Linked DNA regions of Coturnix japonica. The protein of the gene in region 1 interacts with the protein of each later gene in a pairwise test. Links are inferred from orthologs where the notes say so. Each region holds a gene or a part of one and is shown on either strand. Other genes may lie near its edges.

What was found.
Region 2: the proteins of ATF4 (region 1) and JUN interact in binary tests that used the Homo sapiens proteins (3 or more experiments, as listed by UniProt). The link is inferred for Coturnix japonica from reciprocal best matches to the Homo sapiens genes ATF4 and JUN.
Region 3: the proteins of ATF4 (region 1) and GOLGA1 interact in binary tests that used the Homo sapiens proteins (3 or more experiments, as listed by UniProt). The two-hybrid records come from large-scale screens. The link is inferred for Coturnix japonica from reciprocal best matches to the Homo sapiens genes ATF4 and GOLGA1.
Region 4: the proteins of ATF4 (region 1) and CEBPG interact in binary tests that used the Homo sapiens proteins (3 or more experiments, as listed by UniProt). The link is inferred for Coturnix japonica from reciprocal best matches to the Homo sapiens genes ATF4 and CEBPG.
Region 5: the proteins of ATF4 (region 1) and NFE2L2 interact in binary tests that used the Homo sapiens proteins (3 or more experiments, as listed by UniProt). The link is inferred for Coturnix japonica from reciprocal best matches to the Homo sapiens genes ATF4 and NFE2L2.
Region 6: the proteins of ATF4 (region 1) and BFSP2 interact in binary tests that used the Homo sapiens proteins (3 or more experiments, as listed by UniProt). The link is inferred for Coturnix japonica from reciprocal best matches to the Homo sapiens genes ATF4 and BFSP2.
Region 7: the proteins of ATF4 (region 1) and DISC1 interact in binary tests that used the Homo sapiens proteins (3 or more experiments, as listed by UniProt). The link is inferred for Coturnix japonica from reciprocal best matches to the Homo sapiens genes ATF4 and DISC1.

The regions. Positions count from the first base shown.
Region 1 is NC_029516.1:46,171,320-46,175,319, forward strand, and holds the start of ATF4 (cyclic AMP-dependent transcription factor ATF-4), read right to left. Parts: upstream 2,801-4,000; 5' UTR 2,597-2,800; intron 1,637-2,596; 5' UTR 1,539-1,636; coding exon 1,325-1,538; intron 793-1,324; coding exon 1-792. UniProt on the Homo sapiens protein: Transcription factor that binds the cAMP response element (CRE) (consensus: 5'-GTGACGT[AC][AG]-3') and displays two biological functions, as regulator of metabolic and redox processes under normal cellular conditions, and as master transcription factor during integrated stress response (ISR).
Region 2 is NC_029523.1:23,599,187-23,603,190, reverse strand, and holds JUN (transcription factor AP-1), read left to right. Parts: upstream 1-1,410; 5' UTR 1,411-1,934; coding exon 1,935-2,879; 3' UTR 2,880-3,504; downstream 3,505-4,004. UniProt on the Homo sapiens protein: Transcription factor that recognizes and binds to the AP-1 consensus motif 5'-TGA[GC]TCA-3'.
Region 3 is NC_029532.1:8,061,999-8,065,235, forward strand, and holds part of GOLGA1 (golgin subfamily A member 1), read left to right. Parts: intron 1-263; coding exon 264-421; intron 422-885; coding exon 886-1,044; intron 1,045-1,568; coding exon 1,569-1,628; intron 1,629-2,418; coding exon 2,419-2,589; intron 2,590-2,818; coding exon of another isoform or gene 2,819-2,836; exon of another isoform or gene 2,837-3,134; intron 3,135-3,142; coding exon 3,143-3,229; intron 3,230-3,237. UniProt on the Homo sapiens protein: Involved in vesicular trafficking at the Golgi apparatus level. Involved in endosome-to-Golgi trafficking. Mechanistically, captures transport vesicles arriving from endosomes via the protein TBC1D23.
Region 4 is NC_029526.1:8,926,415-8,930,627, forward strand, and holds the start of CEBPG (CCAAT/enhancer-binding protein gamma), read left to right. Parts: upstream 1-1,413; 5' UTR 1,414-1,525; intron 1,526-2,359; 5' UTR 2,360-2,464; coding exon 2,465-2,920; 3' UTR 2,921-4,213. UniProt on the Homo sapiens protein: Transcription factor that binds to the promoter and the enhancer regions of target genes. Binds to the enhancer element PRE-I (positive regulatory element-I) of the IL-4 gene. Binds to the promoter and the enhancer of the immunoglobulin heavy chain.
Region 5 is NC_029522.1:14,053,032-14,057,035, forward strand, and holds the start of NFE2L2 (nuclear factor erythroid 2-related factor 2), read left to right. Parts: upstream 1-1,204; 5' UTR 1,205-1,349; coding exon 1,350-1,379; intron 1,380-1,502; exon of another isoform or gene 1,503-1,620; intron 1,621-4,004.
Region 6 is NC_029517.1:39,194,949-39,198,888, forward strand, and holds the start of BFSP2 (phakinin), read left to right. Parts: upstream 1-1,140; 5' UTR 1,141-1,229; coding exon 1,230-1,676; intron 1,677-3,940.
Region 7 is NC_029518.1:35,652,806-35,656,736, forward strand, and holds the start of DISC1 (disrupted in schizophrenia 1 protein), read right to left. Parts: upstream 2,801-3,931; 5' UTR 2,724-2,800; coding exon 2,648-2,723; intron 2,617-2,647; exon of another isoform or gene 2,500-2,616; intron 1,834-2,499; exon of another isoform or gene 1,756-1,833; coding exon of another isoform or gene 1,731-1,755; intron 1-1,730. UniProt on the Homo sapiens protein: Involved in the regulation of multiple aspects of embryonic and adult neurogenesis. Required for neural progenitor proliferation in the ventrical/subventrical zone during embryonic brain development and in the adult dentate gyrus of the hippocampus.

The DNA.
Region 1 (4,000 bases):
TCAAGTACTGGATTTCCTTACTCAGGGAATCTGCTTTCTCTTTCAGGGCCTGATTTTTCTGTTCCAAATCTCTGCACTCCCCTGACAGAGCCTCCTGTTCTGCCCTCTTCTTTTGCCGGTAACGTGTGGCAGCAGTCTTATTTTGCTCCATCTTTTTCAATTTCTTATCTATTTTCTTTTCTCCTTTCACCTTTGCTGACACTACCTTCTCAGCAGGGTGGTCATATGGTTTAGAACGCAGAGAGCCACGGGTGGCATCTGCAGGGAACTGGTTGTCATTAGGGGATCCAAGTGAATTGGTAGGACTGTGCTGGGGCGTTCCCAAATAAGAGTCTGGGCTCATGCATATTCCACTATCATCAGAATGGTTCTCCTCCTCTTTCTCTGACTTCGTGATCACTACCAGAAAGGTGGGGGCCTCCTGTTTCCTTTCACCTTCCAGAACATCCACTTCACTACCTAGTTCTAAACTAAATGAATGGTCTGGAACAGAAGTCAGAGACCCTGGGGAGAGGGGAAAAGGCCACAGGGAGCCTAATGGGGCCATGGGATCTACTCCAATTGGAGATTCGGGGAGATTGGTGATTAGATCAGGTATGAGTGGAGGTTCTTTGTTGTGAAATTCCTGGGTGGTAGGGTTAAACAGGAGATCACACGTGTCTTCCAACGTGGCCATCAGGTCGTCTGGTGAGACGGTGGCTTCCAGATGTTCCATACCTAACAGGGCATCAAAATCAAATTCCTTCAGATCCATCTTCTCCACCATCCACTCCATGCCAGAGAAGGCATCCTCTAAACAAGGAGAAAAACAGTATATTTTTCGATGAGCCAACACAGAGATTCTATACCAGTTATACCAGAAATAGTTATATCTTCCCCCATTCTTTTTAATGGTAAAAAGATCGACTACCAGACCCCTTCCCCCTACTATGAACTGGGGAAGTCTGCATGATACTATGTATCTGTCAGCTGCTGACATTCCATCCCTCTTAGTCTTAGCTCTCTAAGAATTCAGGCCTATTTGAAACACACCACCACACTTGTTTCTTGTGACCTCTTCCAGGGAAGGCTACTCTTAATAGTTGGCATGTTATTAAAAGGGCAATGCAAGTGTCATTTTTCCACAGGCTGGTCGACTACAGAGCCATTTGCTATTGTGTATAATCAGTGTTGTATGGATGCTTCCCAGGCCAGAAGACACATACGTGATGTTACCTTTCCATTTAGAGAACTCGTGCAATTTATCTTTGAACAGGAGGATTACATTATTTATTATGTGCCATCACCTTTGGTGTTACTTCCTGCACATGAATTAGTGCCTTACCCTGGCTGCTATCTATGGTGTTGCCTAAACTGTCCACAGTGAGCCAATTGGAGGAGACTGCCTTAGCCTTGTCGCTGGAGAACCCATGCGAACCGAGGGGCTCGGCCACCTCCAGGTAGTCATCGAGGAGTCCCAGACCTTCCTCAGCCACCAAACACGGCTGGCTGAGGGGGGAGGACTCCCCCAACAGCATCTCGTTGTTCAAGAGGCTCATCTTGGTCAGGTTTTAGCGCTTTGACGTCAAAGGATGTAGACAAGGAGAGGGCCTTTTTGTTGACTACAGCAGTGCTGCTGTGCGGTGCCTTGAAAAACCTGTAAGACAAACATTTTTCGCATGCATCAGTGCTTGTTCTACTGGAAAAACAGCCTTCACAACAAAACGCAGCCTCAGGGAGAGTGCTGTTGCACCAGACTTGTACGACTGCAGCATTTTCAGGGCTGTTTGCCTCAAACTCTTGCTTTTTATTTGTTTGCTTTCATAAAAGCTTTTCTATTCGCATCTCCATTGCCCAGCACGGCATTGCCAGCCCCACGCCCCGCCGAGGCCCCGCCCACCGCGCCCTGACTCACGTCACGCCCACGCCGCAGCCATTTCGCGATCTGCCGCCTACCGCTCCCCACCCGGCCCCGCCGCCATTTTGTGCCGTGACACGTTTTCACCCCGTGTCGATGGGAACGCCATCAACGTGGAGGGGTGGGGGGGAGGGGAAGGTGACAGGACGATAGAACGACAGAGCACCTTTTGGTGCTAGGCTGACTTATGGACCAGGTGGATTCGGATGATAAATACCACGACAGCCTTACACCCTTCTATCAGGCTGGGTTCGACACCATTCCCCCCCCCTCCCCCCACAACCCTCCTCCTCCCCCGGCCAGCAGCGCCGTAGCATTAAGGGATTATCTTAATGCCCGCTCGTTGGAAGCCCCGTTTAACTCCTCCATCCGCTGTGGGAACGCCTCTATAAAGACAATCCCCTATACTACTAAGACAACCGTCTAGGGAGCTAATATTCTCACAAAAGCCTTACAAAATAGAACAGCCCTGAGCTTTCAGGATGTGGGCTTCTCTAAAATACAGGGTATTATGGCTCATTTTTCCTCTTAAAAGTGTCATTTCCTGCCATTTCCGTCACCCTCAAGTAGGTTTCCAGCCCCCACCCTATTAACCAGACAGCTTTTCCTATGGGGCGTCCGTTTCGCACCCCAGAACCCCGCTTTATGAAGCAGGGGGTGGCTGTCACACAAGGCGCACTCCCCACACGCGCTACTCACGCCATGGTTGCAGATGCCGGGGATGTGCCGAGGCCGCCGCCGCTGCTGCTGCGCCCGCTGCACTGGCCGATGCCGCCGCTGGCCCTGCCGCCCTTAGAGAGCCATGGCGGCTGGGGGGGGGGTTGGTTGGTGCTCCGGTCAGCGCCGCGCGGAGAGGTGCTACGCACGGTCACAGTTACAACCTGTCAGCTCAGCCAAGGGCACACAATGAGGTGGCAGCGCGCGCGCTCCGCTTTTATATACCTTCACGCTAATCAAAACGAGATCCGGCCTGATGTGTCCTTCCGCTCTTCGTCACCCGCCTCTCGTCAGCACCCTTCAGCCTGTAGACCTTCAACTTTCTGGGCCGCTCTCGTTCCATCCTGCTAAAGATTAACCAAAAAAGCTGTCAGCAATAACTTTTCCCTCCATCGTGGGCTCCTAGACAGAGGGACTATATGGTGTTCCTCCGCGCAAACACCGCCCAGCCGAGATGGGAGGCCACGTGATACAGCAGCTGAGGACACTCCTCCCGCCCGCCGCGGAGCGCAGGGGGATGTGGGGGGGCTGCTGCTCCTGCCCGCCAACACAGCCAGTGAGCTCTGCGCGCCGATTGGCTGGTGGCGTGGTAACCGTGTGAGCGCTGAGCCGCCATTGGCTGACGCCCGAAAAGGGAGAGATGGTGAGAGGCACGGAGAACGAGGAGCCGTAAAATGGCGGTGGCGCTGGTTCTATTCTCTGCTTCACATTTCCGTGGCGTGTTCTCTTTGAAGCACCACGCCTCCTTTGTTACTGACAGCTCTTTATGCCCTCCACACGAAGTCCTGTCCGCTCTCCCTGTGCGTTCTTAACAGCCCCTCCAGACGACGTCCAGCAGAGTTGAGGGCAGAACTTTGCTGAGGAGAGTCACTGCTCCCTCAGATAAGTGGAAAACTCCCTGCCTGCTACTTGCCCCACAGAGATAGGGCTGTGTGTTTGTGTCCCTGACACCCTGCTAGCTTTGTAGCTGAGCTGTAACATTGGCCTGGGGTGGTTTGTGAGGAGATGCAAGAGCAGCCATTACTCAATGGAGGAGAGCATTAGTGGGTCATCTACACAGCCTCACGGCCCTAGTAAACAGCCTCACCTTGGGAAGGTTTTCAAGCAGGTTTGCATTATGTTTTATCTGAACTAAATCAGCCAAATGAGAAGGCAGCCCTGCTCCATCACGTCTGGCCCTGTATGTTTATAGCAGCTCCTCTGGTCCTCACCTAGCCCTGTATGAAACCCATGGGGAACAGATGTTTTCAGTCCCCTCGTGATTCTCTGAGGACACTAAAGCACCATATGCAGCTCTGAGTGAGGAAGGTGAGCTGGGAAGGTTGCTACCCATGTTTTCTTTCACTACCTGGCCTTTGGTTGCTTTCCCACATTACCAGCCCTACA
Region 2 (4,004 bases), on another chromosome or scaffold:
ATGGAGCTAGGAAGCTGCTTCTAACACAGACGACTTTCAGAGGCTTTCCTATACACATGCAGTAACTGCTGCTGGAGCTACAGAGGCAGCTGGAATTACCTGCACACAGGTGCTCATTGCCTACCTGAAGGCTGTGCACACACCTGCAGCAAACACTAAGGCCCACATTTGTGGGCAAACTAATTCACTTGACTGTTAGCACAAACATGCACAGGTATTGGCTGTGTGATTCCAGCACATGGGTGAAGTGGATACACTGAGTGCAGCCAGGTGTGCACAGCAGGGAGGACCGGGAGATGACTCTATAAAAGGAGCAGTAACTTCTATCAGTCAGTGCATCCAGACATTCACTTTTAATTCACAGCTCTTTTTGATTCTGTTTATTACATTGCTCCCTCCCGTACTTTAAGTGCTAATTATGTTATTACATCTAGAAGAAAAAAAATAGCACTTAAGAGTTTTAAAGTGCATTTTCAAACCGAGACTTAAGTTTGTCAGCTTCGTATGTCACACAAAGCGATGGAGCCCAGCAGCGAAGCAGCAGCGGCAGCACTTGTTGCCCCGGGTTCCCGTCCCGTCCATCAGCCGAGCTGCGAGTCCCCGGTAGCTGTGGAGCAGCACAAACCTCCCTCCCCGACCGGATCCCTCCATCTCCAGCCGTTCCCCTTGGCCAAGCTGCGCTCACACACTAATACCAGCACAGCTCTACAACCGGGAGGACAACTTTAGGAAAACCCATCCAGAGCCAGGCTCCTTCCCGGCAGCTTTTTCCCCTCTCATACTTTGGGGAGCTCCCGGCCCTGGGAACAGACACAGCGCTCACCGCAGCGGCTGAAGGCAGGCGGGGCTGAGGGCAGCCGGGCCGCCCGTCCCCGCCCGCCGGGGCTCCCCGGGACGGGAGGAGACGAGGCCGAGCCGCCCCCACCCCAGCGCCGCCCGCCCTGCGCTGTGCCCCCGTGCGGGGCGGGGGCGGCCCCGGCGCTGTGCGCGCCCGCCCCGGCCCTGCCTGGAAGCGGCGGGGGCAGCGAGGCGGGGAAATCACGTGAGGGCTCCCCCGGAGCGCCACCTTCAGGGCCGTACCAACAACGGGACCGGGGGGGGGGAGGAGGCGGCGATGCGGCGGGACTCAACGCGACGTGGAACGGAGGAGCGCGGCCCGGCCCCGCCGCACGCAGCATCTCGGCCCCGAGCGCAGCACAACGCACGGGCTGAGGGCGCGGGGCGGCTCGGGGCGGCATCGCGGTGCCCCGGTACCCGGTAGGGCAGCGGTTGGTTGGTACGAGGCCGTCGAGCCGCCCAACCCCGCTCGGAGCTCGGGCCGCGGTAACCAGATATTCAAAAACAAGACGTCAGCCCACAATGCCCCGCGCCGCCGGCAGCATTACCTCATCCCACAAGGCCCCGCGCCGGCGCTGAGAAGCTTCTAGGGGCGGGGTGTCCATGGCGACCGGCTGCCATGCACCGCGCCGGGCCAGCGCCACGCCTCCCCCGGGACGGGCGGCGGCAGCCAATGGGGAGCGCGCGGGGTGACATCATGGGCTATTTTTAGCGGGCTCCCGGTCGCTGATAAGTGAAGGGCTGCACGGAGCGAGCGGGCTCAGAGCGGGGCGGGCGGCAGCGAGAATCAGCCGCCACAGCGGGCACGGCCGAGCGGAGCGCGGAGCCGGGAGGTACAAGCGGCAACGGCGGCAGGAGCGGCCCGGCCCGGCACAGCGCGGAGAGGCGGCCCGGGGAGCAGCACAGCGCACAGAGTACAGAGTACAGCGTACAGCGCACAGCGCACAGCGTAGGCCCGGCGGGCCCGGCCCGCGCCGGGAGGAGCGGCGTTGTCCCGGCGAGAAGTAAGGAAGGCTCCGGCTTGCTCTTTCCCCCCAAGCCGCTTGGCCGGGAGCGGTGTGGGGCGGCTCCCGGCGCCACTTTTTGGGCTCTGTTCTATGAGTGCAAAGATGGAGCCTACTTTCTACGAGGATGCACTGAACGCCAGCTTCGCGCCGCCGGAGAGCGGCGGTTATGGATATAATAACGCCAAGGTGCTGAAGCAGAGCATGACGCTGAACCTGTCCGACCCGGCCAGCAGCCTGAAGCCGCACCTGCGGAACAAGAACGCCGACATCCTCACCTCCCCCGACGTGGGGCTGCTGAAATTGGCCTCCCCGGAGCTGGAGCGGCTCATCATCCAGTCCAGCAACGGGTTAATCACCACCACGCCGACCCCGACGCAGTTCCTGTGCCCCAAGAACGTTACCGACGAACAAGAGGGGTTTGCCGAAGGCTTCGTGAGAGCGCTGGCGGAACTGCACAACCAGAACACGCTGCCCAGCGTCACCTCGGCCGCGCAACCTGTTAGCGGTGGCATGGCACCTGTGTCCTCCATGGCCGGCGGCGGCAGCTTCAACACGAGTTTGCACAGCGAGCCCCCGGTGTACGCCAACCTCAGCAACTTCAACCCCAACGCGCTCAATTCCGCACCCAACTACAATGCCAACGGCATGGGCTACGCGCCGCAGCATCACATAAACCCCCAGATGCCAGTGCAGCATCCCAGGCTTCAGGCTCTGAAAGAAGAGCCTCAGACTGTACCTGAAATGCCGGGGGAAACCCCTCCCCTGTCCCCTATTGACATGGAGTCGCAGGAGAGAATCAAAGCCGAGAGAAAACGCATGAGAAACAGAATCGCGGCGTCCAAATGCCGGAAAAGGAAGTTGGAAAGGATTGCCAGGTTGGAAGAAAAAGTGAAAACTTTGAAAGCCCAGAACTCAGAGCTGGCATCCACTGCCAACATGCTCAGAGAACAGGTTGCACAGCTTAAGCAGAAGGTCATGAACCATGTCAACAGCGGGTGCCAGCTAATGCTAACACAACAGTTGCAAACGTTTTGAAGAGACTGACTTCAATAGGAACTGTGATGTTGTGGTATAACTAAACGACAAACCAAAAGCGGCGGACGCGTAAAGCTCACGGTAGAAGCTGGGAGGCTGTGAGTCCTGCCTGCGTGCTGCAAAGCACATGTGTGCAAAGACTGGGCAGCCTTCAGCTCGAGTTGGTGAAGCAGCCGGCACCGCTCCGAGGTGCTGATCCTGCTCCCATGAGGCGACAGATCTTCGTTTAACATTGACCAAGACCTGCATGGACCTAACATTCGATGATCATTCAGTATTAAAGGTTAAACTGCAATAGAAACTGTAGATTGCTTCATGTAGTATTCCTTAAGAAACAAACAAACAAACAAAAAGCGGGAGGGAGGTTTGTGGGAGGCTGATAAACAACCAAGAACTGTTGTTCCTGCCTTCAAGTAAATGGTGTATGTACATATCCTTTTTTATTTTATTTTATGAAAGTTGATTAATGTCAATAAACTACTTCATGACTTTGTAAGTTATTTTTATGTTGTTTATTTGGGTACTGCCCAGTATTGTTTGTAAATAAGAGGCTTTTTTTTAGCACTCTGAGTTTACCATTTGTAATAAAGTATAATTTTTTTAATGTTTCTGTTTCTGGAAAAAATCTAGAAGGTTCTATTATATTTAAAAAAAAATAAAATACTTAAAATGCATTTCCTCCTCACACCTTTTTCATTATTATTATTATTATTATTATTGCTAGTATGTGAGTTAGGAAAATGCCCTTAATGCTGGACTCTAAAGGGCAGGGATTATGTGAAACTCGCTCTGTAAGTGCAGGCATGTCCTGGAGAACGTGTGAGGAGGAGACGGGGGGAACCAGATCCTGAGCACTGAGCAAACAGAACTTTTTGAGTTGTCTGGGAGTTCCAGTTCCTAACCTTAACCTGGGAGGTTATTGTGTGTTGTAGTGGCCCTGCTGGGGCGGCTGACTTTGGCTTTAGGCAGGCTCTAGAGATGGTAGAAAGCCGGTGTGTGAAACTGCTTTGCACTTGTATCTGGCTGCTTGTGCTCTTGCATGCTTTTTATTAAGCCAATGCCCTCGAGCAGGATCAGGCAAGGGGCTGTTTGCTTTCCTTTGCAACAAAAGTGCTCTAGACTTCA
Region 3 (3,237 bases), on another chromosome or scaffold:
GTGGAGGTTTGTGTTCATTTAGAAGAGGTATAATTGCTAATTGTGCTTTTAAGTATTAAAATCACTCTGACGTTTGAAGAGATAGATTGCTCCTATGCAAAAATATGCATGTGAGCTTGGGTGGTTTAAATTCCGGGTCTTTGTTATAGAGCAAAGCAAAAAGGTCAGGATTTACTGTTGCACTAAGTTCTGTCTAAGAAAAATAATGAGAAAATCTCATTTGATTCAGTAGATTTGTACTAAGCAAGTTTTTTCATCCTTAGATCATGAAGCTGCACTCCTGCAAATACATCTGTTACAATCTGAAATAGAGGCATGTAATAACCAGGCACTGGAGAAAGAAGAAACAGCAAGAAAGGAAATAGAAGAATTGAAGTTACAGATACAGGAGTTCCTATTGGCCAGAGAACATGAGAAAAACGTGAGAGCCGATTACAAAGCTACTCTATTTACACTTCTCAGGAAAATAAGTAGGTGTGCAGGAGATCCCACTTCTGGTACGCCTTGGTGATATGCCATTATTTGTTGTTCCCCATCTTCTGCAAGAAAGCTGTGTGCTGTCACAACTGTGACTAGTTTGTGAAAGACACCAATTTATTTTATTTCACTTATAAAATGTCTTGAGGGGATTAAAGGAGGCAGAGACCCAAAAGCACCAAAAAGCACACACCACTGAGTGATGTGGAATGGATTATCAGTACTGCTTTCTGGTTTACAAAACAAGCAATGGGTCACAGTGAAAAAAGAACCAGAACCACCGCTATCCTCCCACTCCCACACACCAAAACAGACATACAAAAGCAATTAAGTTTTGCTTTCTCCCTGAAGACTGTTAATGGGCTGCAAATATCATACCTCTGCAATTTGCTGTTTTCATTTGTGTAGGTTTCAGAACTAGAAGAATCAGCAAGAGACTTGGATGAGCACTTACATCTTCCAGAAAATCGTGTGATAGAACAGAATGGAGAGGTAACAGCTACAGATGTCATTCAACTTCAGAAGGATAACAGAGAGCTGGAACAGCAAGTTGTTGAGAAAAACAAGGTAAACTAAAAAGCAGGAGTTTCTGTTGCAGTTAGGAAGCCTAATAATAGGTACCAAAGCTTTAGAAAGGCCTGAACAGGCTTACAATCTTGAGAGATCCAATCTGAATCCAGCGTTCTATGAGTGTTTCCCCAGCCTGGACTGTAAAAGCAGTAGTGAATGGAAATTGCAGCCAGAATTGCAGAGAAATCTCTGTGACACTTTCTGCTTCTGCTCCTTACCTATTCTGGAGAAAAGAAGCACCAGATGACACCAGTTACAGCTTTCCTGCTTCCCTTTTGTTTGAATTTGATTAATTTCTATCATGTTGTCACACTGAAGCCCAAGTTTCCTATTGCACACCTGCTAACATTGGCAGTTAGAATTGTGAGTTGTCCAGATTGCTTCTTTGGAGCTTTCAGTTTCTTTAATGAATGCTTTATTCTTTACATTCATTCACCTTGTTTTCTCTTCAGATACTTCTGTGTCAACGTGTGCCCGAACACTGAATGCTGTATTAATGCCATCTTTTGCTCTGCTTACAGATGATAAAGCAGCTACAGCAAAGAATGACAGAACTGAAAAAAACTCTCCAGAAGGAGTTGGTAAGTGTTCGGTTTCTCAGTCTCCCCAGCTGGCATTTGCTGAAAGGTACTTACAGTAGAAATTCCAAAGACTTGATTGCAAGCCTCAGTTTGTTTGTTTATTTACTAGGAATGCTCACAGTTTCGTTGTGATTGCAGACAAATCTGTGCACCCTTAATATAAGGAAATATGTCATTCTGGGTCTGTATTTACTTTATAGGTGATGTGTTGGGTAGCCATCACTATTCAGATACTGCAACACTGGATTTCAGCTAGGGACTTGTATCTGGTAGTGTCTGGTTTTAAATGTTTCCATATATTGGATGACTGAGATTTGTGGTTGCTTCTCGGCTGTCATTCAGCTAAAATTCAGCCACAGGAGGAAGCTCTTCTTAAAATAGTTTCCCTCTCCAATAGAAAGTCCCTGTATTGTAAACATTTTCAAAGAGGGTTTAAAATATTCAAATTTTGTGATGTTTGGTTTTTTTGCCTGAACTTGAGAATTGCATTCTGTGTATTTGAAAAGCACAGAACAGGTGAAAGAACAATAATCAGATGTCAGTTTCTAGCCTGGAGCCAATTCTCCTGGTTTGGATCTTACAGATGTAACTGACAGCAATTAAGATCTCTCTAGGGAGGTGTAAAGATACACTCCTCTGCTGTCATCACCTGAAGAATGAGAAGCTTATCCTACTGATGCCCTGGTTGTACCCGTCTCGTGGGTACAAATGCTCTGTGTATTTGGTATCTCAGACCCAGATTTTCTCCCAGCATCAAACTGACACAACTGATTTTTCTTTTTTTCTTTAGAAAATAAGGCCGGACAGTGAGGTACCCGAAGTACGTGAAAAAACAAATTCTGAAGTGCCTAATGCTTCTGTGACTGTCACAAACAACTCTGATTTAAATGACTCGAGGGAGATAAACTTTGAGTACCTTAAACATGTTGTATTAAAATTCATGTCCTGTCGGGAGTCTGAGGTAAAGAATCCTGGGAAGATGGGTTGGGTATGCTTGTCTTCTAAGTCTCTCTGTCTTTAGAAACTGGCAACTGGTACTTCCATGCCAGCTCAGTAGTTCTGCATATAAAAAGTAATTGATGCAGCACAATAAAGCAAAACAGCAGCATGTTTGGGAGCACAGATCATTAGGAACTAAATGAAAGGTGGGAGTGAGTTATGTCTAGAAGTTAAAGACATGAAGCTTCGAGGCATTCCCTCTGTACTAATCTAAAAAGCATATGGAGTATATGAGGTTATAGTAGCTGTGTACATAAGAAAGATAGCAAGAGAAACCAGAAAGGATATAAAGCACACGCTGTTGAGGTAATACTTATAAGAGATAATTCCTTGTGCATTTGGAGCTCCTTTATATTCCCCAAGTAATAGGGCATAGTGGAAGGTTTTACTGTTCTGCTCTTTGCAGTTTTAACTGAAAAGTCTGTGACTGAGCCTGCAGAAAAACTGTCACACTGTAGTCCAGAACACAGAGGCTGAGAGCATCACAAGCAGTAAGACACTGTGGTCTCTTGCAGGCATTCCATCTTATTAAGGCTGTGTCTGTGTTACTGAATTTTTCCCAAGAGGAAGAAAATATGCTTAAAGAAACCCTGGAGTACAAGGTAAGGAT
Region 4 (4,213 bases), on another chromosome or scaffold:
ACAACGTCCCCACGGCGCGGTCCGGGCATTACAGCGGCCGGGAACGTGTGCGGGGCCGCCAGGGGAGGCGGCACACAACTGGCTATAGCAGCAGTGTCAGAGCAGCCGAGTAACCAAAACAACCAACACGATCTAATTAACAAATTATTATTGTTTGTACCGAGCCAAACGTTTGGAAACGTCAAACTTTGGGGAGAAGGCAGAGCCCTTTATTAAGGGTCTGATGTGCCTGGGACTCCACATCCCCAAGGAGCTGCGGCCAGCGGAGCCCCGGGCTGCCGCTATTGTGTTTGCTGGGTGGTGGTGGGTGGCAGCCACAGGCCGACATGGAACCGGGCAGCTCCGGCCGCTGGAGAAACAGCAGCGCTGGGAGAAACCAGCCCGGAGCTGCCACATGAGCACCAGAGAGAGTGTCCCACTGAAGAAATAGCTAACACAGCATGGGGAAGCTCCAGTGTCAGGAACTGGGGGAGATCTGTGCATCAGGGCTAACAACAGCCTGCGAGATGTGACACTTGGGTTCTGTCTCCCTGCTCAACCCACGTTCCCCTTCACTGAGAACTTAACTATCCCATTACTTTTCAATTTAATGGAACGCTTCATTTTTTCCTTTGGATTGCAGGGGCATAGATAGAGATTTTATGCATATCTGGGAACAATACTGAATAGTTTTGATAGTAAAGAGAGAATAGCAAGTGAAACCTGGTGCTGTGAAGGAACTTGCCAGGCGTTGGTGGGCTGTGATGCTCCCAGGGCAGGGCTGCCTGTTCTCTGCAGTGAACACAACACAGGTGGTAGATGTGGCATCTGAGCGAGCTGGGCTGCCCAGCAGAGCAGTGCCATGCTGGAGTGGAGGCCTGTTGTCTGATGTCTGCCCTGACATCCTTCTGTCCTGAAATATGAAAACAGGAAAATGCATTGAGGGGTGTGGTTGTACTCACACGACTCTCACACCTTTTTCATTGGCTTTAAGGGAGTGACCGAAATGGTGACAGAATGTTGATTTTGAATAACACTGAAGCCAAACTACTGGGCTCTGCTGTGAATGTCACTGAGCCGCGCTGTGCAGCTGCACTCAGTTCAGGTTCCTGCAGATGATGAAAGAAAATGTGCAATTGACAGTAACATTTTTATCTCATTAATGATAACCCAGCAGAATGTAAAATGACACTGAGGTTGTGGTGGAAAACATATACAGGAGCAGCATGCAGCTGAGGAGCCCCTGAATACAGGCTGGGCATTGCCACACAGGACTACAGCCTCCTGTCAGATGTAGGGCTGGGCTGGGCACTGCTCAGCTCGCCTTGTGCTCTGCTGACCTCAGCTGCTCTTTCCCAATGGCTCCTCCTGGGGACAGGAGAGGAGCTGTGGCAGCACCGGAGTCTTGTACCTCCAGCAGGAGTGGGAGCAGGCAGAGCCCCAGGTGGGAGGGTGTCTGTGCCACAGACTGTCTGCATCCTGCTGGGGAGGAGCATGGACACTGATGGCTGGGAGAGACACAGCGGAGGAAGTGTGTTGTGGGCAGGTCAGCTGTGGTCCATGTCTCCTTGTCAGTCCTGTCTTTCAAGTGCAGTGATTCTCACATTGCTCTCACCCTGCTTTCCTGTCCCACCTGCCCTCACAGCAGCGTTAAAGGCTTGGCTGGCTTTACCTTGTTTGTGGCGGAGGGTTTCCTTTTGGGTCATTCAGTCACAGCCGTCACAGCACGCACCACCTCTTCTTGTGCATTTTTGCACTGAGTTCTGCTGAAACCTTAATCATCAGTTTGGGCTCCATCTTCAAAAACAAGTAAAATAATCTCACAGCCAGTGAAAGCACTGGAAGATGTGGTGAGATGTTCAAGGGAGCGTGAGCTGTCTCTAGAGAAGAGCAAAGACCACCAAGGAACGTGCATGGATGCAGAAGGATGGTCTGGAGGAGACAAGGATCAAGCACTCCTGTTGGCCAAGAGTGAGGCTGTTAATGGGTTTAAGCTGCAAAAGAAAGAATTCAGTCTAAAAATTAAGAAAATTATATAACTGGGAGAAAAGTTAGACAGTGGAACTAGTTGCCAAGACAGAGGTTGTGAAACGAGATTTTTCAAGGCTAGGCTAGACACCCATCCATCAGGGATGGCTTTGGAATAACTGAGTAAATGCAGTGAACAATGCAAGCAGCTTGACTGGATGACCCAGTAACAGTCCCTTCCAATCCAAATATGTTCGAGAGGCTTCTGAAATGTCCCAGCAGTTGGCAGCCGTTCCACTTCCAGCACAGTTTTGGTGTGTTGCTGCCAGATGTGCCATCGGTACGTTATGCCAAAGGCAGCCATGTGTAAGACTGAACACAGCACCTTTAACAGCATTTGTTTTTCCTTCAGGGTTCACCTTGCCCTTAACCCATGTGGAGACCTGCTGGAAACACGATCTAGAAAAGAGTTCTCAGTCTTCTGATATTCGGTTGTGTCAAAGAAGAGCCCGTCCAAATGAGCAAGACATCCCCACAGAACACTGCTACAGATGCGAACGGAGTAAGCGTGATTCACACCCAGGCGCACAGCAGTGGTTTGCAGCAGGTTCCCCAGCTGGTTCCCGTTAGTCCTGGTGGTGGAGGCAAAGCTGTGCCTCCGAGCAAGCAGGGAAAGAAAAATTCCTTTGTGGATAGAAACAGTGATGAGTATCGTCAGCGCAGAGAGAGAAACAACATGGCAGTGAAAAAGAGCCGGTTAAAAAGCAAGCAGAAAGCACAAGACACGCTGCAAAGGGTCACCCAGCTCAAAGAAGAAAATGAACGTTTAGAGGCGAAAATTAAGCTCCTGACCAAGGAGCTGAGTGTACTGAAAGACTTATTCCTTGAGCACGCACACAGTCTCGCAGACAATGTGCAACCTGTTGGCACTGAGAGCACCACAACGAATCCAGAGAACAGTGGGCAGCAGTGACTGCCACAGCACGGCGGGATGAACTCTGGAGGCGCAGCCTGTCTGCACCACCCATGCAGTAACTGAACAAATAAGGGGTTCTTTTAACCATCATTGTGTGCTGATCTTTTTAGGTTTAACACTGAAGATTTGATACAATTAAACCAGAAACTGCTTAGGGTATTTCTTTAAAGGCGTTAAATATTTTTCTCTTCTAGAAGATTTGTGTAGTAAGTGCAGATCTGAATCCTTAGTCAGCAAGGAGCTTACTATTATGGAAACAGCATTTCACAGATGTACAGTCACCTTCTTACATTTAGCATAGGGAGAAATTCATCAGGATGGTTCACTGTAGAATCAGAAAGTCATAATTGGGTGAATTCCTTTAAATACATTTTAGTGCATTTAAGCTGTTTCTTTTCTCCATTACATATTACAAACTGCAAAGACCGTAGGGAGTTTGTTGTCCTGTTTGGTGAACTGCTTTTCTACCTACAGAGCAATTCCTGCAAAGCACTACCTAGGTTTTTCCTATCTGGTTACAGTTAACAGGCAGGGCACAGTAATAGCAAGCTGGGGTACTTATGTTGTCTAGAAGAACAACAACATTCTATAATGATCTTTACAGGGAGTTGGCTTCCACAGGGCAAGCAGTGGTCTGAAGCACTAAGTATCAGGTAAAGCAGCACAAGGCCTTTTATGCCTGCGTATGTTAACCTGGCTTGCATGGTTATGAGAACAAGATTTTGGTTTCTAAAACATGTAAAAATGCTACCAACAACCTCTGCTCTGCAAAGCCGCATTCCTGCTGGGGTGGCGGTATCAGGGAGAACAAAATGCGCAGCTTGGCTGAGCAACAGAAGGGTAGGGCAGCATCTGAACAGCAAGAATGTGTGGATCTCAGCTTGCTTCTGTTCATTTCCATTCTCGCAGCCATTCAGCCAAGCCTGTACAGAAATGCACAGTGATTTGAAAACTAATGGCCCTTGTCTGAACACTTGATTCAGCAGAATTTCTGTAGCCATCACAGTTGTGTGAAGGAGTTTCTTCAGTCTTATTTCCATAGAAGCTTTTCTATAGCAGTTTTTCAAATGCTAGTGATAAAGTCTGCCATGATCCATAATGCAGTGGTATGAACTATATATTGAGGATTTTAAAAGCAAAAGTAAAGCAGGAACTTTGGCGTAACCTTAATTTATTTTCATTTTTAAGTATTTCATTGATGGTATGGTTGTGTTACATTTAACCTGTGTGTCTGGCTAGTGGATTATTACACTGTCTTAATTTCCCTCCTACACTACCTTTTCCCCCTAT
Region 5 (4,004 bases), on another chromosome or scaffold:
GCAATAGCAAATTGAACACAGCTCAAACAATGTGAATTCTCCATGTATTCCACATGGTTTTGTTGTGATTTTCATCTTTTTTTTTTTGTGCCAGGGGTGGATTCATTGTTTGACCAGATGTAGGCAACACCCAGCAAACACTACATGAAATATACCTGGATGAATAGCCACACTAAAGCACAAGCCAGGGAATATAAGAGTGAAGAGAATCATAGAATGCCTTAGGTTGGAAAATTCCTGCCAAATCACCCAGTTCAAACCCCTGGCCATGGGCTGAGTTGCCAACTACCAGATCAGGGCCCAGAGCCCCATCCAACCTGGCCTTGAACACCTCCAGGGATGGGGCACCAGCACCTCACGGCCCTCTCAGTAAATAATTTCCTCCAAACACCTGACTGAAATCTCTCCTTTTTTAATTTAAAGGCATTCCTATTTTTCTTATCGCTATCAGATAACGTTAAACGTTAGTCCCTCTCATGCCTAAGGGCTCGCTTTAAGTGCAAGAAAGCCACTAGCAATCGAGTTTTCTTCTAAGGCAGCGCCGTGCCAGCAGAACATCTGACCGAGGAGCATTGCCATCCCATAGGACGGGCACTGCCATGACATCTCCCAAAGCATCACGTGAGATTCGGGTCTGTAAGTCAGCCGGCTGAGACACGCACGCCAACTATTTCGACACCCGTAGTATTAACGGGGGTTACAGTGCAAGAAACCACAGGTACCAGGGAATTACAGTACCCTGGGATGAGAGCCTGATGTAATAGGAAAGCACGTGTGGAGGACGCAACCAGAAAGAGCCTGGAAAGGTGCCTTTAGTGTCAATGTAGCAGACTGCCAGTGGCTCGTAGCCGTGTTTCGGGACCGGACTAATAACGTAGAACACGAAAAGAAGGTGAAACCACACACCTGGGGAACGTACCGAGGCACGGACAGAACAGCCGGCCGAGAGCACTGCTGACAGAACAGCCGGCCGAGAGCACTGCTGACAGAACAGCCGGCCGTGAGCAGTGCTGACAGAACAACCGGCCGTGAACAGTGCTGACAGAACAGCCGGCCGAGAGCAGTGCTGACAGAACAACCGGCCGCTCGCGGTGCCCGGCGCCGTGGGAGGGTCGCGTTCCCGGCACCGCCGCCACTGCCGGGAAAGGAGCCGCCTCCGCGGGCACCGCTGAGTGGCTGCGCCGAGTCGGGGCGGAGCGCGGCGGTCGCCGCTGGCTCGGCCCGGGCCGGGCCGGGCCGTCCCCGTCCCCAAACAGCGGCGGAACGAGAGCGCGGGCGGTGCCGGCCGAGCCGCCACAGCTCCACAGCTCCACGCCGCCGTTCCCGAGTCCGCGCCGCCGCCCCGCGCCATGGAGATCGAGCTGCCGCCCGCCGCACAGGTGAGGGCGCCGCGGGCACCGGGCGGGAACCGGGGCTGCGCGCCCCCGGCTCCCCCTCCCTCTTGTCCCGGCCGTTGGGGCGGGGCGGGCCGGGCGGTCACGAGGCCGGCGGGGCACGTGGTGCCGCCCCGCCCCGGGGGCAGCGCTGAGTCACGGCGGGGGCCGGGCCCCGCCCCCTCGGTACTTTCCCCGTCTCCCGGGCGGGGGGTGCTTCCCTGCCCGCTGCGCAGTTCGGGGCCAGGTCAGTCCGTGGCGAGGGGGGAGCTCGGCCCGGCCCGGCCCCGCCCCGAATACTTGTCCGGTTCCTTCTTGAGGGCCTCCCGCTGTCACGCGGCCTCAGTGGGGGCAGTTGCACAACCGCGTGTTGCCCGTGTCGGGTCGTGGGGTGCGGGGCGAGAAGGGCGCGGGGAGGGTGTGATTCTGTGAGGGGCCGTGGGGGCCGCGATGGAAGGGACCCCGCATCACTTCAGCGTCCTCCTCGGTGTGGGCCGGGGCGACTCTTGTGTCTCCTCCTGTGGGGCCACCTGTCCGCGTTGTGCTGCTCGAGCCCCACAGCCGCGGGTTGTGTCAGATCTGTACTGTAAAGGCGCTGTGTCTTTAGGTAGCTAATGGATTATCTTTTATTGGTTAAATGGAATGCTGGATGGGATTCATTTGGGATGTTGTCTATTACTAATGACACAGGTATCAAAACTGCTGAGGAAAAACGCTCTGGAACGTGAGTCAAAGTGTTTCAAGTCAAGTTCACAAAAGCATTATGTACCCATAATTGTTTACTGCTTCAGTAAGCTGAAAGGTGCTGAAATGGCTGGGCCTGGTGCTTCTAGCCTTGTCAGACAACATGACAAACTCATCAGCTCTCACTAAGCACTGAGCCTTGTGAGAAGGTGAGCAAGATTACTTTCTCATGTAGTGTTTGCACTGAACACTAAAAGTGAAGGCCAGTGTAACCATGTACTTGAGTATCTGCTCAGTGCGTGGGTTTTTCTACCTAGAAAAGAGTTTCTAGTTACATTAGAGGTATCTCTTTAGTCTGTAGGGCTTTACACAGGTATCACATGTCTGTTTTTGTGACGTACTACATAAGGTTGTCTAGTGAATGTCTGTTCCATAATGGGCTGTTCTTTCCATACGACACCGATCATGCAGGAAGTGACAAATGAGTGCACCGCTCAGGCCTGACAACAGGCCTTTGATGTGTTTTTTAGCTCAATAACTGTTAAGCATAAGTGTCTGTAGATAGATTAAGATATCTGTATGGATACCTATTTGTCCATCTATATATGTGGATACGTTTCGGTATCAGAAAACATCTATGTTTTTTGTTGGTCTCTCAGAAGGAACTGAAGGCTGAAGGAGCTGGGTGGTTCAGTGTGGAGAAGGGGAGGCTGAGGGGAGGTCTCACTGCTCCGTACAGCCGCCTGAAAGGTGGTTGCAGTGATAAAGGTGCTGGTCTTCTCTATCAGGTGACAAGAGATAGGATGTGAGGAAACTGCCTCAAGTGGCACTGAAGGAGGCTTAGATTGAATATCAAGAGCATGGAAGGGGTGGTTAGGCATTGGAACAAGCTGCTTGGGGAGGCAGTAGAGTTGCCATTGCTGGAGTTATTTAACAGACCTGTGGATGTGGTTTGGCAATGGACTTTGTGATGTTAGGTGAATGGTTGGACTTGGTCTTAGAGCAATCTTAATGATTCCATGACTCCTAAAATTACAGAGAAGAGTGGTGGAAGTAATAAGAATACTACAAGCACTGTCTTAAGTAGAAATGCATTTTTTAGACCCTTTTAATTCTGATGTGCCTACCCTGCTTATCATGCTGCACTGAAAAATCTTTCCTCAGAACTTCAGAATATCTCTCAGTTAAACCAGTGGTAGATACAATGCAGTGCAGTACCTGTGGCTGAAAGAAATGTAGACTAATAAAAGATGACCATGAGAATCCTTTCAATGCAACAGCTAATTGGATATTTTATTATTGTAGTACATATCTATCGTATGGACGCTGTTCTGTATTTTGTATTTAAAATGTGCTGGGAATTTACATTGCATGAGAAGTTGTTTGAAATACAAGGAGTTGGTTGCATTTGAAAATGGGACTTGAAGAAGCTTGCGGTTAGAACTCAAAGTAGGAGAGCACTTTGGCTTTGGAAGTTGGGGTTTTTGTTTTTGGTTGTTTTTTTGTTTGTTTGGTTTTTTTTTTTTTTTTGGAAAAATATGTGGAAGAGACCAAACTGGGACAAAATAGAACATTCAGTATAAGCAGAGAGCAGCTGGATCATCTCGTGCTTTAAAGAACTTGAGACATTTTTATAGGAGTGTGTGGGTGGTTGGGAAGCTTTGTGTATGTTTCCCACCAGAGTTCATGAGCTAGAATAAAATTTGGCTCTCTGTCCATTACTTTTTTCTTTCTTAAACCGAAAAAAGCAAAGAGAGTATAGCACTTATCCTAAATGACAATACAGAAGGTTATGTATCACCATGACAGCCAAGATCACTGTTAAAATTATCAGATTATTATTAGCTATTCTTGCCCCTGAATACTTCAGTTCTTATAGGTTTTTTCCTCTTTGTCTTGAATTTGCAGAGCGAAATGCTGTGTGCTCCTTTCATGATCCTGGCTGAA
Region 6 (3,940 bases), on another chromosome or scaffold:
CCACTGGGGTCTGCAAACTCAGCAGGGAGGCAGCAGGAAAGCTGGGACAGAGCAGGACGATGAATGAACCTAACGCACCCATGAGGTCCAGGAGATGGGCAACCCACCTGAGCGATAACATTGCTCAGTGACTTTTTTTATGTTATCTCTCTCAGATAGGAAGACCTGAGCTCTAATTTTAGCTTTGAAAGTGTTTTACAAGAGCAGAAACCAGAATGGCCTTTTTTCTTGCATAAATGCCCTAACAATTACACTTTGGACACGCAGCTGCTCTTCTCCAGCCCAATGAGTCCCGAATTACTTCCCACAGAGCAAACAGCCTCTTAAGAAGGTGAGTGTCCCCTTTGTAGGAACAGAAATCTCCGCAGTGTTTTGAAGCAAACTGGCATTTCAGTCCTACCCAGTTAAGCAGCAGATTGCAAGCTGTAATAGTAGTGTGGGAATAGGAAAGGCGAATGAACCTTAAATGGTGGGTTAGAAATGGACCGATACAGGCAGAGGGTAACATGGAGTGTGGAATGACTTTGCTAAATCGAGGTTCTCTCTTTGAGTGAACCTGAACAGTTACCACGGGACCAATTTTGGGTTTTGCTCTATAAATTGCCTTTCTCACTTTGCTCAGCAAGTGGAGCGGCTTCTGTCCCTTGAGGCCTCAGCCTTCTCGGTGTGTCAAGTGGAGACGTGAAGGGTGCGGTGTCCCTGATCTGAGACTGCTGGGCCAGGGCTGTCCATAGAATGAGGAGGGATTCAAGTCCCTGCATCAGCAAAACGCAGAATGGGCATGACCACAGCTCCACAGCTCAGAGGTTGGTTTTACTTAACTTTAAGTAACATCTTGCTGCAGGAGGGCCTGTCAGGAGTAAGCGAGCAGCCAGTGTGTTTGTAATTCATGGATGGATGGATGAAGGCAGGAGATCATCCAGGCGTCAGCGCAGAGAACACGGCTGGCATTTTCACACGTACGTTGTCATGAATTCCTGCCCCGCTGTGCCCGTAAACACCATTGTGCTGTTCATCTGCCACATTTGCAGCAGCAGCAGCAGGGAGATTTGCCCTGAAATGGATTGCTGACCCAGCTGCCGCCGGGACAATGCACAAAGCCCGCCTTCCAGAAAGCCGTCGCACAAAGCCGAAAGCCCCACCGAGCCCCGACCTGCTGGGCTCGGCACATCCCTCCGCCAGTGCGGGGCTGGCGGCGGGGCTGAGCGGGCGGCAGCGGCAGCGGCATCATGCCCTTGCCCAGGCGCCGGTCGTCCTTCCTGGGGCAGCAAGCCCCTTCCTCCACCGCCGACAGCGTGGGGGGCCCGGGGCGCCGGGTGAGCGTGGGCAGCCTGTCGAGGCCGCCCGGGGTCTACGTGGGTGCCGTGCCCACCGGAGGAGTGAGCAGCTTGGGCACCCGCGTGTCCCGCCGAGCGCTGGGCATCAGCAGCGTCTTCCTGCAAGGGCTGCGCAGCTCCTGCTCCGCCGTGCCCCTGTCCGCGGGGCTGGAGAAGGGCAGGGGGCTCTCCTACGAGAGCCTGAACGGCTGCCTGGTGGAATACATCGAGAAGGTGCGGGCCCTCGAGCAGGTCAACCAGGAGCTGGAGGAGCACATCCGAGTCTACCTGGACAAGAAGTCCTCCAGCGTGGGCAGCTGGGGAGCGCTGCGGGAGAGCTGGGAGGCCGTGTACCACCAGGTGAGTGCGAAACACGGCTTAACCTGATGGTGCAGCCAGTGCGGAGGGTGTTAAGTCTGTCCTTGTGATAATTGCAGCCTTATCGCTTCACAGCGTGCCGTGGAAAATGCTTATGTTAAGGAGGAGAATTGCCTGAGGCATCCTGTGCATGGGAGTGATTGAGATTCACCCCAAGGTGCCACACTCGGCTCCTATGGAAATGGGACAATTCTCTAATATTTTTCTTCCTTAGCTGTGGTTATTAAGCCAAGAATCAAAATTATTAACAGGAAACTGCTAGGACTGAATTAGTTTATCCATCATCATGATATCATTACAAGCCTGTTAGTCATGTTGGTGCTTTAGGTTTGTTTTAATTAGCAATTCAGATTTTTACTTTCTTCCCTCGTTTGCTTGATGACACTTCCCAAAAGCTCTATTTATTGCAAAATAATCATGACATGACTGCAAATGAGCCACTCCATCCCTTCGCTTCCCACTCTGGCCACCCCCTGCACCCACCTCTCTTGATGTTTTACAGCAGTCTTAGAGGGGGCAGTTCCTTTAGGACCCTGTTGGATCGTCTTTGGGAAGCTTGAAAGGCGGCTTCTCATTCCCCAAGAACTTCTGTGCTGTGCCACGGGCTGGCCAGACTTACACCTCTGGCTTAGGAAAGAGGGTGTGTTGTTAGTGTGCTGCACTTTTAGGGCTGCACCCAGAATGCCTCAGATGCCGTCTGAACCCCTTGTGCAGTGGGATATTCTATGACAGCGTAAACCTCCACCACCTTCACATTCAGCTGTGAGGTGGGGTTGTTAGCTTTTAACTTTGCGTGCAGGCAACATTTCAGGTTTTACAGAGTACATATCAATCTCCCCAGCCTCAATCCAGGTGCTACTCTTCCCAAGGCAATGCAACAAAAGGCCACTCTTGCTGCCTTCATGCTTTTCTCCTTTGGGCTCTGAAAGAAGGCTGAGCCGTGAGAGGCTGGCTAAAAGCATTGCAACTTCAGTGCTTGGCACCTGATCAGCAACATGAGCCATTAGTCTGGCCTATAGGAGTGTGTTGGAGACAATGGTCTGATAGAAACCATTTATTTCAGCATTTGGAAGAAAAGATTAAGCCATGAGCTTCTGAAGTTTTCCTGTAAAGGCATCTTGCGTAAAGTTAAAAGCCTGAATATTTTCTGTTACATGAAAAAGCAACACATGAGACTCGTTAACACACCTGAGACCATGGACTCAGCAGCATCCAGAAAGGATGCACTGAACTCAGCTTCTCTGCTTAGTGATTTACATCCCTCTGAACTGCTCCGTACATATTTGCTGGCAAGATGTTCCCTGTTTCCTCGAAGGCTTTCATTTTCCATAGACATTTGGTCAGATACTGCAGCTGCGTGGGCTCACTGCTGGAGGCAAATGGACTTGTTTTGGCAGGTCAGGGCAAATCGCAGGGCAGCGTTTGTTTACGCTGAGTAGAGCGAGGGGAAAAGTAGCAGCTTCATCCATTCATGTATGAGTGGCAGCAGGAGGGCAAAGTACAATAATTTCTGGAGAAACTAAGGGGAAAAAGCAGATTCCAGGATCAGATTTTCTAGAACTGAGGAGAAGAAAGAAGATTCAGTAAGTGTTGGTCCTTTCTCCATCCTGGAAGGCCCCACAGCCCCAGAATGCCCCAGAAGGGAGTACCTGGGGCTCAGTGCTGGTCCAGGGAGGCTGCAGTGGAGCAGGGAAGAGGAAATAAGAGTCTGAGTGCTGAAGATGAGCCATCTCTGTGTGCTGGAGAGCACGTAAAGTTCTTGTGGCTGGTCTGGCTGCTGTGCCACAAGGCATTTTCTCTGCCCGCACCTGTAGCTTTTGTAACATCTCTGACTTCTGCGCTTTGAAGGTTTCTCAGACCTAAAGTGAGGCTTTTTTTGGCCCTGTACTAACTTCCACCATGGACACCTCAGTGTGGGGCGTAGGTTATTCCTCCAGCTACCTCCTCGTCCTTGAGTTTGTAAGAATTCATGGCAGTGAGCCACTTTTTGTAATGATTGATGTTAATTACAGGTACCAAGTTTTCAGCATTGCATTTCCCCCTCCACCCCTTTAGTGAGCAGCAGGCGTAGGAGCAGGTAGGAGGACCACACTACAGCACTGATCCCACTGGCAGTACTTAGGATGACTTGTCTGGACACAGCCTGGATAACCCATGTTGCACAGTGTGTTTCACCTTGGGAGAACAGAACACTTCAAGGGATTTGCCATCCCATACAGTCACAGACTTAATTATCCAAAGTAAGA
Region 7 (3,931 bases), on another chromosome or scaffold:
GGGAGACTTGGTAAAGAAACATCTCTCCCTGACAGCACTTTTCAGGTGAGCAATTAACACAACCTGTGCCTATATGACAAAACAGAGCACAAAGCACACTGTTAAATGTTACACTGAATTAAGTAAGCACCTCCAAACAAGGATACTACAGAACTTCACACAGGCACAGCAGCCTTTGTTCAGTACCAGAGAGCCAAGTTTTTCCTGTGTGACTGCTGATTTACAAAGGACACATTCATCCCTCACACATAAGGGTTTTGCAGCAGTTTGCCTTCGAGAACACTGAGTAGTATTACAGCATACCCCAGGCTCAATCCTAATCCAGGTGACACAGCAAGAAAGGGCTGCTCTCTGCAAAGAGCTAAGGATGAACTCGGAAATCTCTATGGCAACACCACAGGTTCCTCCCTGTTTACCTTTGGGCCTGGTACTCCAAAGGAAGCAAGGAAAGCTGTTGTCACAGGAGGTGTTAATATGTACAACATCCAAAAGCAGGAAAGGCTGCAGACTGCCCGCCACTCAATTGGGATGAACATTTGCTCAAGAAAACCAAATGCCAAAATGAAAAGAAAAATCCTAACTCCTGATGAGCACTCAGGGTGCACCACACACTCCAGTAGATCCCAACTGGGAGGTCAGGTGGTTCGAGAGCTGCAGGAGGCCTGAGCTACGGTGAGCAAAAAGAAAAACCTACCCGAGTGTGCCTAATTTGTGAACAAAGTCAGAATTAACCTTCAGGGTGCTCTGCTTTTGTGAGTACAAAACATTGTTTGCGGTGCTTTTCCGTCCTTCTGTTCATTACAATTAATTCATACTGGTGTTAATAAATCCTCTTTTCTTGCACGACTCCACTACAATTCCAGAGGCAGCGTCTTAGGCCCAAACTTTCTGACTTCATTTTGCTGAAGGGAACAAAGGTTGATTTATGTGAAGTTAAAGAGGGAAGAAGCCAGTGGCAATACAGTGCTTGTCTATGACCACACTTCAGAGTGTTGTGCTGCTGTGTAACTCAGTAGTACAGTGTATGCCAGTAGGTTATTTTCACTGGCCAATCTAAAGGAACTACACAAAAAATGAGTAAGTTTAACAGCAACACAAAGCAAGAAAAAACACACAGAGATGGACACCGACAATATCAAATGCACAGAACATCTGTGGGTTCCTTTACATCCACCAGTCCCACTTTTTAGAGGATCACAGACCTCTAAGCTCAGCTAGTTGTCTCTTTAAATCACATATTTAAACACCTTTCTTCTTAGTTTCAAAACTGCCTAAAAATCCTATTGATAGGAAATGATGACTGGAACTCGGGCTGTAACACCACCATCAGTCTCTTCCCAAAAGAAACCACAGCTTTGATTTCAGCAATAATATGGGGGAACACTGATATGAAATAACTACCTAGACTTGGAAATTACACAACACAAAAGTGAATAAAGAGGAACTTTTCTTCCATTTTCACAAGTTACTGAAAGGCCAATTGCAAATTAGCAAGTAAACGGACAAATATGAAGAGACAAGAACAGAGATAATGCATCTCAAGGTAGTTTATGCATCTCTTTCAAAACTCTATTTTCAATTGCCAGCAGTGCTTGCCAGTATATGCTCACTTATATGCATAGAAAAGCTTTTATTATAAAGGCACTTCACTAAAGAGCTCTTAAAGCACTGTTCAGAAGCACAGCAAAAAGTTACTCAAACACATGTACACACAGATTAGCACGGATTACCCAACATCAATGAGCTGCTCTCCATTGAGATGTTGGCAAGGACAACTCAAGTGTTTGCAGGAAGTTTTGCTTTGCAGTACTGTGTATCCAAAAAAGCCAGAAAGTCAGCTGATGTGCCTGATGCATTCTACGCCTTCCCTTCTGAATCCCTTTGAGAAGATCGAGCTATTTTCTGGTGTTACCCACAGCTCCAGCCCCTCACCGGTACTACTATCAGAAATGACTCCTGCTCAGGCTGACAGCTGAGCAATAGAGGGGAGAGCAGCTCACCTGCTCTGCCAGCCACACCATTCAGTGCTCATTTATGCAAGGACTGACACACAAACGTGGCTTTTTCCCCACGAATATGGCAGCTTCCTTTTTAAACCAAGTTCGGAGATACCAGACTGCTGACTTCTAAGAGCATGTCTACTTCCCTCACAGCAGTTGGTTATGTAGATGTATATACATATACACACTCACTTATATATGTTTGTGTATATACATACAAACCTACAAATCACACACATTTATGTAGTAATATAATTGCTTCCACACTAACAGAGGTGGAATTTTGGGGTTAAAACAAGGAGGAAGGAAAAAAAAAAAGTGTTATTTCAGAGTTATAACAAAGTTTCCTAGGCAACACCGTGCTAACCCTCGCCAAGACAAAAACTCCGGGGAGTGAAAACTAAGCAAGCAAAGCGGGTTTGAAACTAAGAAGCAAGCAACGAGTCTTTGTATCTAACCCCTCCGCCCGCACCGAGCGTCCCAAAGCCGCCCTACCCACCCGAAGCTCGGATCCCACTCGGAGCCCCTCCTGCCTCGGGGAGAGCCGCTGCGGGACGGACCGGGCACCGTTACAGCCCCGCTGCGCTCCCGGCCCCCGGCCCCCCTCCCAGGCGCTGGGCCGCCCCTCAGCCCCCGGCCCCGCTCACCTGGGCCGGTCTCCTCCCTCCCGCTGCCGCGGCGCCGCCTGTCGGTGCCGTCCGAACGGGGCTGCGGCCGCCACATCCCGCCCCCCGGCGGGACGAAGCGGCTCCCCCCGGTCGCGTCGAGCGGGGCGGAAAGCGACGGCCCCGGCCACTCCCCCGGCGGCTCGGAGCCACGGGGCGCGGCCCGCACGACGGCACCCGCCGCCCCTCCTCCGGGCCGGCCTCCTGCGAGCCGGGGGCAGCCTCAAGCCTGCAGCGTACGGGCTTTGGACTAGCAGGGGGAGATGGAGGTTGGGACCCGAAGCCCCGACTGCAGATCGTTTCTGAATTCAGCACGGCACGCACACAACGAGGAAACACGCTGCTCATTGTCTATATGTAGTTTCAACTTGGCACCAGTGTCTGCACTGTGTGTGCTTCCATTACTTCTCATAGAGTCACAGAGCAGCTTGGGTTGGAAGGAACCTTAAAGCCCATCCAGCCCCAACCTCTTGCCCCACATCAACTCATGCTGCCCAGGGTCCCATCCAACCTGGCCTCAGGTACCTCCAGGCAGACAGCTGTGCCAGGGCCTCACTGCTCTCCCAGCGAAAAAAATTCCCCTGATATCTGATCTAAATCTTTTAATTAAAATCATTCCCCCTTGTCCTATCGCTATTACTTTTGCAAGTCTGTGATCCATTGAAGTCAAACCACAACTTCACTAAGATCCTCCAGTCCAACCATCAGCCCACCCCCACCATGCCCACTAGATGACATCCCTTGGTGCCACGTTTCTTGAACACCTTCAAGGATGGTGACTCCACCACCTCCCTGGCAGCCTGTGCCAGTGCCTCGCTACTCCTTGGGAGAAGACATTTTCCCTGTTATCCAACCTGAATCACTCCTTGGCTATCACCATATTCACTATATCAACCATTTTTCAGTATTAATTTCATGTTAAGCATTTTTCAAGGTGCCCTCCATCCTAGACTTCAAAGGTGCCTTCTCAGTTATGCATAGTGCTACCATACATTAAAACATCACCTTGTGTGCTGAGAAGTTTCTATGACATTCAGAGACACTGCTACAGAAAAGCCTCGCTTTAGTTGACAGCTAAGAGCTTACTGATATTCTTGTGTTTCAGTCCATTTATTAAGAAATACAGGACGTGTTAAGAGAGATGTAACCTCATACTCCAGGCTCTGCCCTTCCTGACTTATGAGACAATATAATAGACAGCTGTGCCTCACAAGCCAAAAATAGACACACATCCTCCTTTCATCAAATGTGCAGTGCTGCTGCTGA